Linked DNA regions of Neurospora crassa OR74A. Each later gene encodes a partner of the first gene's protein in a complex. Links are inferred from orthologs where the notes say so. Each region holds a gene or a part of one and is shown in the gene's direction. Other genes may lie near its edges. The genes, in order: NCU00334, NCU00812 and NCU02256.

Region 1 (4,291 bases):
GAGATCAACTCGGCGCTGCTCAAGCACCTGCGGTCGGAGCAGGCGGCCGTCAGGTTGGCGGTCATCAAGTGCGAGCAGGAGCTCACTGCTAGACTGGGTGAGGAGTGGCTCCAGAGCTTGCCGGAGATGTTGCCATTCATTAGCGAGCTGCAGGATGATGATGACGAGGTTGTGGAGAGGGAGAACAGGAGATGGATTGTGGGCATTGAGGAGACGCTTGGTGAGAGCTTGGATAATATGTTGCAGTAAAGGGTTACGAGGGTTGGAGTTGGTTATTGAAAGAGTACATACTGTGACTACTGGTCACGGGAAAACGTTTACATGTGGTATATGATCGATGTCTTTGGCCATGTTGAAGGTAAAGGATATATCCTGAGGATGGATGGGACTATGTGTAGCATTTGCATTTGTAACTGGCGTTAGATATAAAAAAATCATGGTTGGGTTCGGTGTGAATAGATATGCAATGATCATTGAAAATGTTGTTAGTTGTGCTTGAATCGTGTCCTGTGAAATCGTCTATTTCTCGCTCACTGAGCATGCATGCAGAAACTTGTTCAAACCAAGATGTGTCGCAAAGAGGAATATATCTCCCCTTCTTGGCCCTGTATCCTTCCGCTCTGGGTATCTTCGCTCCTCTCCTCTCTCCGCCACTGCGCAATCTTTCCCCAGCGGCAGCAACGGCAGCAACAAGCCCCCAACCTCAAACTCCTCTTTCTCCTCCCTCAACGAACGTACTTGCTCATAAACCGCCTATGGAAGTCGCTCCTCAACAAATCATTGACAAACTCCTTCTTCTTATTCCTATCGTCCACACCCCTCGCCTGGTTCTTGAAGACCACGTCGTCGTCCCACCTCCTCTTGACCGTAAAGTCCGGCTTGTTCAGCAGCGGGTTCCCGAGCGCTATGTCCTTCTCGCGCTGTTCTTCTTCGGCCTTTTGGCGCTCAAGCTCCTCGCGCTCGCGCTTCTCTTGACGCTCGCGACGCACGCGCTCGAGTTCCCGCTGGAGTTCGGCTTCTTCGTCGTCTGAGTCGGAGTCGGAGTCGGAATCAGAATCGGAGGAGTCTGAAGAGGCGTCGTCGTCATCTTGGTTCTTCTGGGCTTTTGGTGATTTGGCATCGGCGTCATCGGCATCCGCGTCGTCGTCATCAACATCATCAGAAGAATCATCCGCATCAATCTCCCTCGTCAACTCTAATATCCTTCGTCGCTTCGCTTCTTGGTCTTCCTCCTCTTTGTTGTGATCACCGCCCGTCAAAGCCAATGGGCGCTTGGTTCCCGCCTTCTCGTTATCGACATCGTCATCACCAGAGGTAAGAGCAGGTCCGCCCCTCAACTTGGCCTTGTGCGCCTCCTCGGCAGCCAGCAGCTCAGCGCGCAGGTCGCGCGTGTCGCGCTCTTCAGATGCCCCCGCAACGCCGCCTTGGCCGGGCTTGCGGAACTTGAGCTGGGTGTAGGCGGGTAGGAGACGCTGGTGGTAGGCGGGACCGCGGAGGGCTTCTTTGCCTTTGGCCTGGTTTTGAGAAGAATGGATGTTAGTGGGTGCACGAGAGGATGGCGGGATTGGTTGGGGATGAGAAGGATGAGGGTGGTGGGATGCGTACCGGGTCGAAGGTAGGTCTGTGAGCTGTGGTCATTCTGGCGGCTTGGTTCGGTTACGCAGTTCTTTTCTTGAGTTGATAGATGATGCCGGTGCGTGAGAGATGAAGCGCGCGCAATAGAGGGCGAGATGGGCCGTGATTTGTTGAGGGGTGTTGGAAGTGGAAATTGCTGCAGAGGGAAGTAAAGTTGTTCCTGATTTGAAGCAATGGCTCTGAAGTCTGAAGAAGGAACTGGCTGGCAGTAGTGGTACAAATGGATCCAATGACGCCCTGGGGTTCAGTCTCGCAGGCGCACTTCTTGACCGCCAGCGGCAAAACCCGCCAAATTCTGGCGGACTTTAGTGGCAGAAACGGTGACCATAGCGACTGCAACTGCAGCACCTACCTAACCAGTGATGTTGCCCGATTCTTTAGATCCGCAACCACGTATTTTCAAAGGGAAAAAGTAAACAAACCTCAGTCAACATGCCCAGAGAAGCAGAACCGTCAGCCAACGAGAAGGCCTTTCTCTTGAAGGCGCTTCAAGACGAACAGATTCGCCTCGATGGCCGTGAATTCGACCAATACCGTCCACTAGAGCTCACGTTTGGAGACGAATATGGCGTCGCCAATGTATCGCTTGGCAAGACAAAGTACGTTTGTGTACTCTCACCACCACCACGCATATCCTACCCCTGAGGCACCAAGATACTAACCGGGACTCCCATCTTTAGAATTCTTGCCAAAGCCTCCGCCGAAGTAACAGTCCCCTTCGCCGACCGCCCGCTCGACGGCATCTTCACCATCGCCACCGAACTCTCCCCCATGGCCGCGCCTCACTTCGAAGTGAACCGGCCCACCGAAACCGAAGTGCTGCTCTCGCGCCTGCTCGAAAAGACGGTCCGGCGCTCCGGCGCCCTCGACACCGAGTCGCTCTGTCTGGTCGCGGGGCAAAAGTGCTGGTCCGTCCGGGTCGACGTGCACGTGCTTTCGCACGACGGCAACCTGACCGATGCGGCCTGCTTCGCCGTCGTCGCCGCCCTTCGCCACTTCCGAAAGCCCGACACCAGCATGGAGAATGGCGTGCTGACGGTGTACACGCCTGCGGAGCGGGAGCCGGTGCCGCTGGGCTGGCTGCACTCGCCTTTCTGCGTGACGTGGAGTTTCTTTGGCGAGGAGGGTGAGACAGCGTTGTTGGATGCGGATTGGATGGAGGAGCAAGTCAGGGTCGCCAGTGTCACGATTAGTTTGAACAGGCACGGAGAGATCTGCCAGATCGCGAAGCTCGGGGGTGTACCGGTCGAGGCAGTTGCGCTACTGCAGTGTACCAGCGTGGCGCTGACGAAGGTGAAGGAGTTCTCCACTTACTTGGATGACAAGTTGGCGGAGGACGCAAAGAGGAGGGATAAGGGTGGGTTTATGGCTGAGTTGAGGGCGGAGAATGATCGCATTGTTGGGTGAAGCGGTTGAGGACGTAAGAGGAAGAAGTGAGATACCCAGGTACGGCCATAGAGCCAAGCAGAACAACAAGGCTGTGTGGTTGAAGGCGAAACCTGACGAGGATATGGGACAGCTCTACAGCTGGTCTCTTTACTTTTCTCAGTCAAAAGAGAACGGCAAGAATTGTCCAAGAGGCAAGTCACTCCGCGGAATGGGCTCTATTATTATGATGGGGGGCGCCGCGAGTGCCGTATCCTCCCTCATGTCTAAAGGGAGTTATCCCGTTAGCGGCGACCGAAATTGCCATCTAACGTTACACAGTGTATCTCGCCATCAGCTCAGTCCCCAAGTCCTCATCTGCCGCTAAAGCTGCCAGATGAATGAGGTGAAAGCATTGGCGCCAGGTAACCACAGGGTCCTAGCCTCTATCTCTGGACGCAATGAGCTCCAAACTTTAGTTTAGACCAAGCCTGAGCCCTAAATTTGCTTCTACGCCACTCCCCCCACGATCCAATCTTGCCCGAATCTGAAGTGATTTGATCTGATGGCAGGGTAATCTCGCGTGATGGCAGGGTGTTGTAGGTCTTTTTGGAAGAAACCTGCGTGATCACGTACCGCTCCTGGCCTAGTTCTTAAGTCTTCCAGGAAGCGATATTGATCCTCGACGGCAGGCAAGATCCAAGCATTGCCTGCCGAACCCAAAGGGAGGATTTGGCTCCCACATAGAATCCTCTGCCCCGGCGCTGTCGATGTTCGTCGATATTGGTCGCGAACGTGGGTTATGTCATGAATTGGTCTTTCATCATCAACCGCTCCCGCTTCTCACCGCATAACCGGCGGCCTCGACTCCTTGTTCCACTTTACCCTTGACCTAACCCACTCCACCGCCTCCCTCACGCCCGTCCCCGTTAGTGCCGACACCGGCAACACCCTCGAGTCTCTGATACTTGCGCTCTTCTCGCCCTCGAAGACCTTCTTTACCAAGCCTTCCTTGATCCGCACCACCTCTACGCAGTCTTCCCGGTCCTGCTTGTTCGCCAATATCAACAGCGGTACGCCTTCTGTCTCCGAGTGCTGCAACACATCCTCCAACACCGCCCGACACTCGTCCAGCCGCCCGTTGTTCTGATCGCGCTCGATTTGGCCGTCGCCGATGTCGGTGCTGTCGATGATGAAGATGATGGCGTGGCAGGACGAGTAGTACGAGTGCCACAGGGCGCGAAGGGAGAGCTGGCCGCCGACGTCCCAGAGCTTCAGGTACATGTCGGGA
Region 2 (5,034 bases), on another chromosome or scaffold:
GTCAAGTGGTTAAAAGAAACGAACGACAGAGCGACAGGAGCTGCCCCTGGTCCACGTTTGTGGTCCCACGGCGCCTGCAGGGGCACGCACACGCATGCGTTCAGGGACCGGCATGCCTTCCACACAGCGCAGTGCGACGTTGCCCGGGGCAGCGAAATGAGGGCCTGGCAGAAATGATCCCTGGCACCTGGAAGATTGGTCTGGACAGGTGAGCCGAGTGGGTCTTGCAGTCCCTGCCACTCGTCAGGGCGGTGATCGTCCCATCTCTCGTCCCTGAGTGGCCAGCAGCGACCCGCCGTCCACGACATCTGCTCAGGTACTTGATGCTTGTGATTGGCTGGCCCCTTTGCTATCCCCCGCCTACATAATTCGCCGGCAGTTCGGTGGAACAATGGAACCCTTCGACGACGCACAAAGGCGTAACGCTGACTTCCAGGTTTGTATTATGCAGCACCTTTGACCCACTGCAAGAATAGGTAGGTCACGTCCAGCTTGCCAAAGTCAAAGAAGCCATTGTTGTTTCGCTGACAATAGACTCGTCATCGTGACCCCATTCGTTGAGTTCCTTTCTCTTCGTTTTCACTCAAAGGGGCCCAAGACAGGACGCACGTGCATTGACTGGTGTTCTGGAGATTAGGTGAGCATGGGGGCGGGAAGGTTCCGTTGCTCTGGCGTCAAGGATAGCAGCGCTAGCCCTGTTTCTCGAAGCCTGGTCGCGGTCGGGTGGTCTGAAACGAGATGAACGGAAACGGGGGCAATGCCAACCAAAGAGCTTTGATCCCTAACACATGTCCGGATTAAGTGCCGCGAAATGTGTTAGCGAGCCCCCTTGGCTAATTCATGGTTCGTTCATCCACAGTTTGATTAAAAGTGTAATGCGAATTGGCGTTGGCGGGTCGTTCCTTGGTAGACTGGGCAACACAGCACTTCCCCATTGCCCCGTTTCTCCGTTCCATTGGACCCCGTGGGCTGGTCGGGCCACCAGCGCAGTAATTCTTCAATGAGTAAGCGCGCACCTCGAGGTTTTCACAGTGAAACGAGAAACAAACCGCGCCTGATGAAACTGTTTAGTTGACAAAGACATTGTGGTCACTGGATGACGACTTGCTCATGGTGGATCTCTGTTCAGTCATATCGATAGACTAGGCCAATTCGTGCTAGCCTGGGCCGGCTGTCTAGGGCTGCATCATGCGCCGACCGACGGCGCCTCCTAGTGTAGAGACTTGATGTTGAACAAGTCTCCCCAAAAACACCAAACGGAATCCTCTTGAACCTTGATCGATTCGCACCCCAGATAGGGAGCTCCAGGAGCATTGGCGAGCGTTCCAGACTTCTAGAACCGGATCACTCTTGGGTCCGAGATGATAGAAGATGACGACGCGCTCAACCGAGGCTTCCAAGAATACAAACCAATTGACATTTCGAACACCCAGCGCATCGCGGTACCCATGAGATGATCTTGGTGGCCGTTGTCCCGTATTCACTTAGCGAAGGGGGGAATGGAGGAATGCCGGTTTCCTCCTTGCTGTTGACAAGGGGTCACTGCCACTGCCACAGTGTGCCCCTGAGTAGAGGTAGCCTACCTACCTCTAGGTAGGCTACCTAGTAGTGATCACTCCTGAGTCCAGACTTCAGGCCCTCTCCTGCTCACAATGCACGATCAAGATCCCATCAACATTGCGCATTCGATTGATATCTTGCCATCAACTCACTGTACCGCTATGAGCTGGAGAGGTCAAATGGGGGCTGTCAAGATCACGTGGAGAGTAGATGGACGGGAACCTTCAATTCCATGTTCCGGGGCCATCACGTCCCGTCCTCTGTCTGCAGCTGCAAACAACTTGCCTACAAGTAGTGTAGAGGTATGCACAGACCACTTGCATGCATTTTCAGCTCCTGATGGAAGCGAAGCAGAACTTAAGCAGAAGCCCTGCGGATGGAACTCCCGTCCTGCCGAGTGAGGTGAGCGGTGGAGCCCGGCACGGCGACCCCGCGAACGTGAGACGCAGCGGATCTTGCCCCGCCCCGCCCAGCTAAACTTTTCCTGTCTTGCCATTGGAAACTTTCGGCCTGGCCCAACCACGTCCGTTTATTCCTAGCAAAAGGCGATTTCAAAGTCAACAACCGTCCACCAGAACCTGCTGTCGATTATTCAGACTGGTCGACCGGAAGCTCCGAATTCCCACTTTGCGCGATAACTTAGTCACTGAAACTGGGGCCCCGACACTTCCGCATTACGCAAGCCTTTCTCTCCTCCGACTCAACGTACCGAGAGCTTGCGCGTCGCTCGCGGCACGATATCGCATCGAATAATCTGTCCCATCGAGCCGAAACTGTACGCACTAACCACGATCTCCCAGATCGAGCTTGGCCGACCCGACTCGAAGAACGACTAGGGTACAACTACAAGCACAACCTGAGCTTGGTGGACACTAAGCAGGGGAAGCAAGAGCAAAAAATCTCGACTCAGGTCCGGCTCCCCAGACAGGCCCTCAGGGCGTTTGTTGTTGTTGATCCTTACTGGATACCGTACCCCAATCTCGACCTTTGGTGTACTCGCTACCTGCCCGGTAGAGAGATTAGCCCGAACCACGATACCCAGAGGAGTAGAGTGAAACGCTAGAACAACAGAACATAGAAAGAAACACCTGTCCACCCAGCTACACCGCTATGCCTCTCGATACTTCAGCATATAGCCTCGCGCTGTTGCGCGTCGACGGCCGCAGGTGGAACGAGCTGCGTCGCATCCATGCCCAGATCCGCACCCAGGCCGCCGCCGATGGCTCCAGTTACCTCGAGATGGGCCACACCAAGGTCATGTGTGTCGTTAACGGACCCAGCGAGCCCGGTCCTCGGAGGGGAGCCACGTCGGGCGGTGGTGGTGGCGGTGGTCAGTCCAAGAACGCCGAGGTTGCTGTAAACATTGTCATTGCCGGGTTTAGCTCGGTTGACCGTAAGCGAAGGGGGAGAGGTGATAAGTAAGTCAAAACACCCAGGGGTTGTTTCCCCCCCAGTGTCAACTACGGCTATTCGTCTGTCACTGTTCGCATAACTAACCCGTCATCCTTCCTTCTTCCATCATCACAGGCACATCCTCGAACTCCAATCGACGATATCTCAAGCCCTCGCTGCCAGCTTACACACCCACCTCTTCCCGCACTCCACCATCAACATCTCCCTGCACGTGCTCTCGCAAGACGGCTCTTTGCTGGCCGCCCTCATCAATGCCGCCACGCTCGCCTGCGTCGACGCCGGCATTCCCATGACAGACTACGTCGCGGCCTGCACGGCCGGCTCGACGTCTACATACGCGGCTAACGACGAGGGCGCCGACCCGCTGCTGGACATGAACCACCAGGAGGAGCAGGAGCTGCCCGGCCTGACGGTGGCCACATTGGGCGACAGCGACCGCGTGGCGGTGCTGGTCTGCGAGAGCAGAGTGCAGGTGAGTCGCCTGGAGGGCATGTTGGCCGTGGGCGTGGACGGGTGTAAGCAGGTGAGGGAGATCTTGGACAGGGTAGTGAGAGAGAAGGGGATAAAGATGATACAGGAGGGCACGGTCGAGAGAGGGGTTGGGTTGAATGACATGGAACTGGATTGAATGGACACTACTGAATCAATGGTTGGGCTCCGGGTCACAGAATCGGATATGGTACGGTAGGTAGCATTACAAAGGCTTGGAGCAAAAAAGAATAGGCAACATGACGAATTTGACGAATTTCACGACTATCAATGTAATCAAAAGTACAGCTCTTGGTCAGGTGAGCAACATGTCGTTTCTGTTAAACGTGCGCCAACTTTTGAAAGCGTTCTCCGAAACTGAAAGGTACCAAAAAACCTTCAACTTTTGACCAGCCATTCACTGACACAAGTCACAGCAAACTACGCTTTCACCAATCTCTCACAGCTCATCGTGACCACTGGCCGTCTTCGACTGGGCCTCAGGCGTCTCCCCCTCCTTTGAAGCAGCCTTCTCAGCCTTACCAGACTCTTTCTTTTCCTTCTTCTTCTCCTCCTCCTCCGTCGAAGAAGCCTCAACAACAATACCCTCCGGCAGCTTTTTCTTGGTGCCCTCGCTCAACCTAATCGCATCAATCCACGCCTCCACCTTGTCATGATCCGAGAAATCATCTCCCTCACCAACAGCGTCGTAGCGTCTCCACCATCCGCGACGGGCGTTGATGACGATGAGTTCAATGTCAGCATCCTCCTTGAGGCCAAGGGATTTGAGAAGGGACGCGCCGGCGGGGTTGGTGTCGAGGGGCACCTCGTAAAAGGGGAAGAGCTTGTGTTGGCCGAGGGCATATTTGAATTTTATTTCGGCGAGGTGGGTGAGGGCCTTTTGGGCTTTTTCGTTGGAAGAGGATACCAGCGCGAGAAGGCAGGTGCTGGATTTGGACGTGAGGCATTCCTTGACGAGCTTTTCGGGGGTGTTGAGGGAGGGGATGGGGAGGGCGGTGTGGATTATTACGGGAATCTCTTGGGTTGGGGCAGGGGTTTCGGAGGACGTTTCAGAGGAGGTTTCGGAGGAGGCGACCTTCTTGGAGTCTTGCTTTCCGTTTTTTTCACCACCGTTGGCCTTGCCGTTGGCCTTACCATTAGCCTTGCCATTAGCCTTGCCATTAGTCTTGCCATTAGTCTTGCCATTAGTCTTGCCGTTGGCCGGTGCTGGGTCCGGATTAGGCTGGGCCGCCTGGGAAAGGAACTCCACCATGGCGGCCTTGTTGATCTCGCCGTCGTACACAATACCAGGGGCATCACCGCCAGGCAACAAGATCAGAGTAGGGAGTTTGTCGACACCGAATGTGGATACCGCCTTGGACTGAGTGTTTCGCACCTGACCGACGGGCATGACACCGAGGAATTCAATGGCGACGCTCTTCAGCAAGGGGGAGGTGGTACCCTTGTCGGTGAAGAGGAGCGCTTTGGCTGTCTCGTTCTTGTCACTCAGGAACTTGTCGAGGTTCTTGTCCTCGACTTTCACGACGTGATTGTTGATGCGCGAGACCACAGCATCGACAATTGCGCTGGCGG
Region 3 (5,051 bases), on another chromosome or scaffold:
TCGAGCATGCGATCGCGGCAAAAGTCTGGGCCGGTAGATGCTGTAGTCCGATGTCACTTTCCCTTGTGTGGGGAGAGGAAATGCGGGCGGATAGTGGGTGCGGTTATATGAGGAATTGGCGGGCGCTGTAATGGGAGGGGGAAAACAATACTCGACGGTTCGAAGAGGTTGGATTAGGTAGGTCGAAGTCGGGCAAAGCTGGTACTGACGGGAAGCACAACGGGAAGCCGAAAACTTGTTGATTTGGGACGGGGACGGGGGAGCAGGGCGATCAGATGCGTTATGTGTCGTGTCGTGGTGGACAGACTCGGCTCAGACTCGCGCTGAAGTTTATCGAAGCAGTTTAGGCAGTATTACAGGGAGTGTGGAGCGTTCTAAGTTCTAGCGCCCAGAAGCCAGAGTCCCCGAGCGCAACCCGACCTGGCTGCGACTGCACGGCACTCTGTAATGAACCGATTGGATGTTGGGGAGGATCCACTTCTCAAGGACGGGAAACCTTATTTGGAAGGGGAACATTCAACCGACTTGAAGTCATCCATGGCTTCCGTCCATAACAGAGAGCACTGAAAACAACTCAACAGAAGATATAATCAGAAAGGTACAGTCAAAGACCAGCGGGTGACACTTTTGGTACATGGGCTTTGTTCAAGACATGGAGGGTGTGCATAATGGAAAGTCCTTCCACGAATACCAGGCGATATATGATATATACGGAGAAGAGATAATTGAGCAATGTAAGGAGAATAACTGGATTGTTGCGGCTTTGTTCAAGGAGTTGGTCGACGAGTGGTACAGTAAGGTACTCAGACGTCGTCCAGCTCTGGTATTCTGAGCAAGTCAGTCATCCTTTCAACTTTGGCCATGTTCGTAAGCTCAAACTCACATTTTTTCTTGCCCATGTATGTTGAGTCGCTGTCCTTGAGTTCTTCCCGCGCCTCTTCAAGCAGCTTGTCGATGCCACGCTCTTTCAAAGCAACCTGTAAAATGCCATATGGTAAGCTATCTCGATGCTAGAGTACGGGCGCTGTATGGTTTTGCGTCCTACCTGCAGGCAAGAGCTATACTCCTTGAAGAGAATTGAACATTCGTTATTTTGTTCGGTACCATTGCCCCTAAGGTATTCTGTCCAGTATAAGTATCACACATGTCCACTGAGTTGGGGTGTCTGTTCCTGTAGACTTACTCTCACTGTACCATTTGAGAAAGCAAGTGTCGTAACGTCTACAACTGGTTAAGATGTTGTTTTCTTTCCGTATGAAGGACAAAAACTTACTCCTTGGCCTCGTTGCATTCCTTGGCGAGTGACTGGGACATCTTTAAAGTCCAGAGCTATGTTTTCAACCGTAGGTGTTGCCAACAAAACGATAGGCTTGGTACGGTGTCCGATGACTTATGGGTATCGACGGTATATCTATGTTTTGGGCAAAAGATCGTATAGAAGGGTGTTCGTGAGATACTCCAGGTGAATATTTTTGGTGGAAAAGACGGTTGTACGGAATCTCAAATATCAACGTTCACCGGTGAGTCCGCTTGGAAACCAACAAGTACCAGGTGCTATTCAACAATGGGGTTGCGGACTTCCACTTCGTCACAGGACGGATCTCAAAAGCCTGGACGCCGATGGATGAACGAACGTTGGTGGTCCAGATCAGCACAATCTTGGCTCTTGGCAAGCGCCCCCTTGGCCTTATGTAATCGGCTGCCCAAAGTCTCTCTACTTTAGTGCTTCTACTTCCCAGCATGGGCCATCAGGTACCTCTACCAGCGCAGAGCGGGAACAGCTCACTCGAGGCCCACTTGATGGCATCCATCGGGCAGCTTCCACTTTTCGAGGTCCCGTTCACTTTGGCGCTTTCTCCACAAGCCACATGCTGGGACTGTCCGCAAAAAAAGTTCCCAAAGAGCAGCAGAACGACAAACCATTTTTGGAAAATTGAACCGGGCTTCCACTTCCAGTGACGTCCACACCACAACGACTCCAGAACCACCGGCCAATATGGACGGCTCACTGGACTTCAAGAGCTTGAGGGAATCGCTCCAAGCCGCCCTGGTCGCTACGACCCGAACCGCCAACTCAATCGCCAGCGAGGATCTTCAGTTCCAGCGCACCGTCAACCCGACTGTCGGTGGTCAACTCGACAACAGCTCCGGCCGCCTTCTGTCCCTGGCCAACGGGCTCCTCAAGTCGACCGCGAATCTTACCGGCCAGAAGGTTGGCGCTCTTGAAGATGCCGACGACGTGGACATCCAATGGCGGAACATTGTCGACGTGATCGACTCGTTGCTCGAGAAAGCCGACACCTGCCTCGACGAGTACACCGGATTGATCAAGCGGAAGGATGCGCCTACCCCCGCCGACCAGGGCCGCGCCCAAAAACGCGTCAAGTCGTCTAACGATCGTCTTGACTGGTCCTTGAAGAGAGCCAACATTCTCAAACCACAGAATAACTTCGAGAAGAAGGTCGATAACTTCGCTACCGGTCCTTGGAAGCCTCTGTTGTCGTCCAAGCCTCATGCCAAGGTGTCACTGGAAGACAGCCTGACCACCTTTGTCGATGATGACAACAACACACAGTACGTCTAACCTTTCTTTCCAATATCATAAGAGCATGTCGCTAACATGAATCTCCCAGATACAAACACCCCTACGAAACCGAGATCAAGACGACACCGTACCCTGAGCATGTGTACAAGAAGCGCGAACCCAAGGAGTACCTTCCTATCGATTCGACATCCGCCATCTGGGTTGATACTTATGAGGGCGTCTTGGAGATGTTGGAGGAGCTCAAGCAGGCCAAGGAAATTGCGCTTGATCTGGAGCACCACGATTTTAGGTCTTACACCGGACTGTTGTCTCTCATGCAGATCAGTACCAGAGAGAAGGATTGGGTCATTGATACTCTTCAACCTTGGAGGCACAAGCTTGAGGTTCTGAATGAGGTTTTTGCGAACCCCAACATTGTCAAGGTGAGACACATCCTGGCCTTCTGCTTTCACTGTATTATCGACTAACTTGACCCAGGTTCTTCACGGTGCTTTCATGGATGTCATCTGGCTGCAGAGAGATCTTGGTCTCTACGTTGTAGGTCTCTTCGACACATATCATGCTTGCGCCGTTCTCGGGTACCCTGGAAGGAGCTTGGGTTATTTGCTTAGCAAGTTTGCCGAGTTCGAAGCCGACAAAAAGTATCAGCTTGCGGACTGGCGCATCAGACCTCTCCCCGAGGAGATGTTTTACTATGCGCGGTCGGATACCCACTACCTGCTCTACATCTTCGACATGATCATCAACGAGCTCGTGGAGCGCTCAACACCCGGAAAGCCGAAGCCTGACCTTCTCGAGCAGGTCCTCGAGAGGTCCAAGGATGTCGCCCTGCAACGATACGAGAACCTTAGCTACAACGTCGAAACCGGCCAGGGACCCCGCGGGTGGTATAATGTGCTGTTGAAGTCCCCAACGCTCTACAACGGCGAGCAGTTTGCCGTCTACAAGGCCGTACATCAATGGCGTGACAACTTGGCTCGTCGTGAGGACGAGAGTCCCTTCTTCTTTATGACACAGCAGGTTCTGGCCGACATTGCCCGGATACTCCCGACCGACAAGAAGGCTCTGTGGAGTATTCTGGATAGCAACGCCAAGGGCCTCAAGTCTCATTTGGATGATCTATTCGACGTCATTCAAAAGGCTAGGGAGGAAGGTGTGAACGGTCCCAAGATGATGGATATCTTCAAGAGCGAGTCATCTATCCTCGCCCCCGCCAAGATTGCTGCGGTCATCGCCGACGATAGCGACATTCCGGACGTCAAGGAGCTCAAAGCTGACCGGTCACAATTTTGGGGCGGCGTCACTCTGAGCTCAGTCTGGGACGGCACGGCTGCGAAGACTGCCAAGCTTGACGACGTGTTGGAAATCACCCTTCCGTATCCGGCCGACTTCATGGACGGATCTACGGCTGAGATGGAGGTGGATCAACCAGAAGAGGCGGTGCCAGAGCCCCAGCCGGCGCCGGAAGAGGTGATAGTCAACCAGGAATTCACTCTTAGGAACGGAGGCAAGCGCAAGCGCGAGGAAGAGTCTGAGGAAGAAGAGGAGGCCTCAGATGCCGAAATGGAGGATTCCGCGCCTCAGACCGAAACCGACGTGCAAACCGGTGGTGAAGCCGAAGGTGACGACTCCGACGAGGAAGAAGAGGAGGAGGAGGAAGAGGCAAGCGACAAGTCATCCAAGAAATCCAAAAAGGCAGCCAGGAAAGCGGCCAAGGAGAAGAAGAAGCAGGCCAAGGAAGCTCTCAAGGCCCAGCGAAGGGCAGAGAAGGCCGCCAAGAAGGAAGCAAAGAAGAAGGCGCAGGAAGAAGCTGCTGCTGCCGCTAAGCAGGCGGAGGGCGAGGAGAAGGAAGATCAGCCGTTTGATTACTCTCAGGCTGCGTCGGTGTTGCGTGCTCGCAAGACTCAGGAGGACGTCAAGAAGGCGAATAAGAGGTTTAACCCGTATGAAAACAAGTCTCAGGGAGGACCCAAGGGCGCAAGAGCGCATTACACGGCCAAGGCGGCTGGCAGGACGGCTACCTTTAAGAAGTGAGGAGCCGGCGGATGAGGAAGATGGAGGGCAAATAGGATAGATTATGGAACGATCAGTGCTGTGTTGGCCATTGATGCCACTTATTTTTTTTACTTGGACTATTATTATCGCGGTGCGTTTTAGTATATGCGACAGGAGAAGAGAAAGAGATGGCTTATGGTAGAGACATAGATACCAAGCAATAACTGATGACGGCCAAGAGACGTCGAGTTTTCATCCTGTTCTACAAAACGCTGAGCCACAGAAACCTTGCATCAAATTATACAGAGTCTCGACCGGTGTGAGTATTTATGTCTTTATATATCCTGCATGTTTGACCTCACACAATCAACTTGCACCTACACTACAGTTTGCCCAAGCTGATTACTGGTATTAGACTCAATTTTCATTTTCTATCTGATGGTATCACGAGGTACCACGAGGTGGAGGGGATCCGCGCGGCGGTCATGAGAGCCAGTTGACAGACCAATGT

The links.
Region 2: the proteins of NCU00334 (region 1) and NCU00812 are in contact, whole or in part, in a crystal structure (PDB 5OKZ), measured with the Saccharomyces cerevisiae proteins. The link is inferred for Neurospora crassa OR74A from reciprocal best matches to the Saccharomyces cerevisiae genes RRP45 and SKI6. Residues at the interface, in NP_010566.1 of Saccharomyces cerevisiae: Thr97, Glu99, Asp100, Val102, Leu103, Ser105, Arg106, Glu109, Lys110, Arg114, Ser115, His191, Thr206, Glu207, Asn209, Ile210, Lys211, Asn215, Glu217, Asp232, Leu239, Arg243, Glu244, Val245, Val246, Gln247, Val248, Ser249, Lys250, Ala251; in NP_011711.3 of Saccharomyces cerevisiae: Arg95, Arg96, Leu98, Glu99, Thr102, Ser103, Val105, Arg106, Met107, Lys110, Phe155, Asp156, Val190, Glu194, Lys195, Leu196, Ser197, Leu198, Leu199, Leu200, Val201, Glu202, Asp203, Lys204, Ile205, Pro206, Leu207, Asp208, Leu210, Glu211.
Region 3: NCU00334 (region 1) and NCU02256 share a complex: the UniProt entries of both Saccharomyces cerevisiae proteins name them as parts of the RNA exosome complex. The link is inferred for Neurospora crassa OR74A from reciprocal best matches to the Saccharomyces cerevisiae genes RRP45 and RRP6.

The regions. Positions count from the first base shown.
Region 1 is NC_026503.1:3,486,780-3,491,070, reverse strand, and holds NCU00334 (3' exoribonuclease), read left to right. Parts: upstream 1-1,998; 5' UTR 1,999-2,067; coding exon 2,068-2,234; intron 2,235-2,315; coding exon 2,316-3,042; 3' UTR 3,043-3,525; downstream 3,526-4,291. Other genes in the region: NCU00336 (U3 small nucleolar RNA-associated protein 10), read left to right, coding at 1-249; NCU00335 (pre-mRNA-splicing factor cwc15), read right to left, coding at 726-1,514, 1,606-1,638; NCU00333 (ADP-ribosylation factor family protein), read right to left, coding at 3,844-4,291. UniProt on the Saccharomyces cerevisiae protein: Non-catalytic component of the RNA exosome complex which has 3'->5' exoribonuclease activity and participates in a multitude of cellular RNA processing and degradation events.
Region 2 is NC_026501.1:7,076,953-7,081,986, reverse strand, and holds NCU00812 (exosome complex exonuclease RRP41), read left to right. Parts: upstream 1-2,063; 5' UTR 2,064-2,670; coding exon 2,671-2,978; intron 2,979-3,087; coding exon 3,088-3,601; 3' UTR 3,602-3,901; downstream 3,902-5,034. Other genes in the region: NCU00813 (disulfide isomerase), read right to left, coding at 3,902-5,034. UniProt on the Saccharomyces cerevisiae protein: Non-catalytic component of the RNA exosome complex which has 3'->5' exoribonuclease activity and participates in a multitude of cellular RNA processing and degradation events.
Region 3 is NC_026507.1:3,162,524-3,167,574, reverse strand, and holds NCU02256 (exosome complex exonuclease Rrp6), read left to right. Parts: upstream 1-1,863; 5' UTR 1,864-1,996; coding exon 1,997-2,574; intron 2,575-2,633; coding exon 2,634-2,967; intron 2,968-3,022; coding exon 3,023-4,579; 3' UTR 4,580-4,827; downstream 4,828-5,051. Other genes in the region: NCU17251 (hypothetical protein), read right to left, coding at 827-828, 884-977, 1,046-1,122, 1,184-1,221, 1,274-1,314. UniProt on the Saccharomyces cerevisiae protein: Nuclear-specific catalytic component of the RNA exosome complex which has 3'->5' exoribonuclease activity and participates in a multitude of cellular RNA processing and degradation events.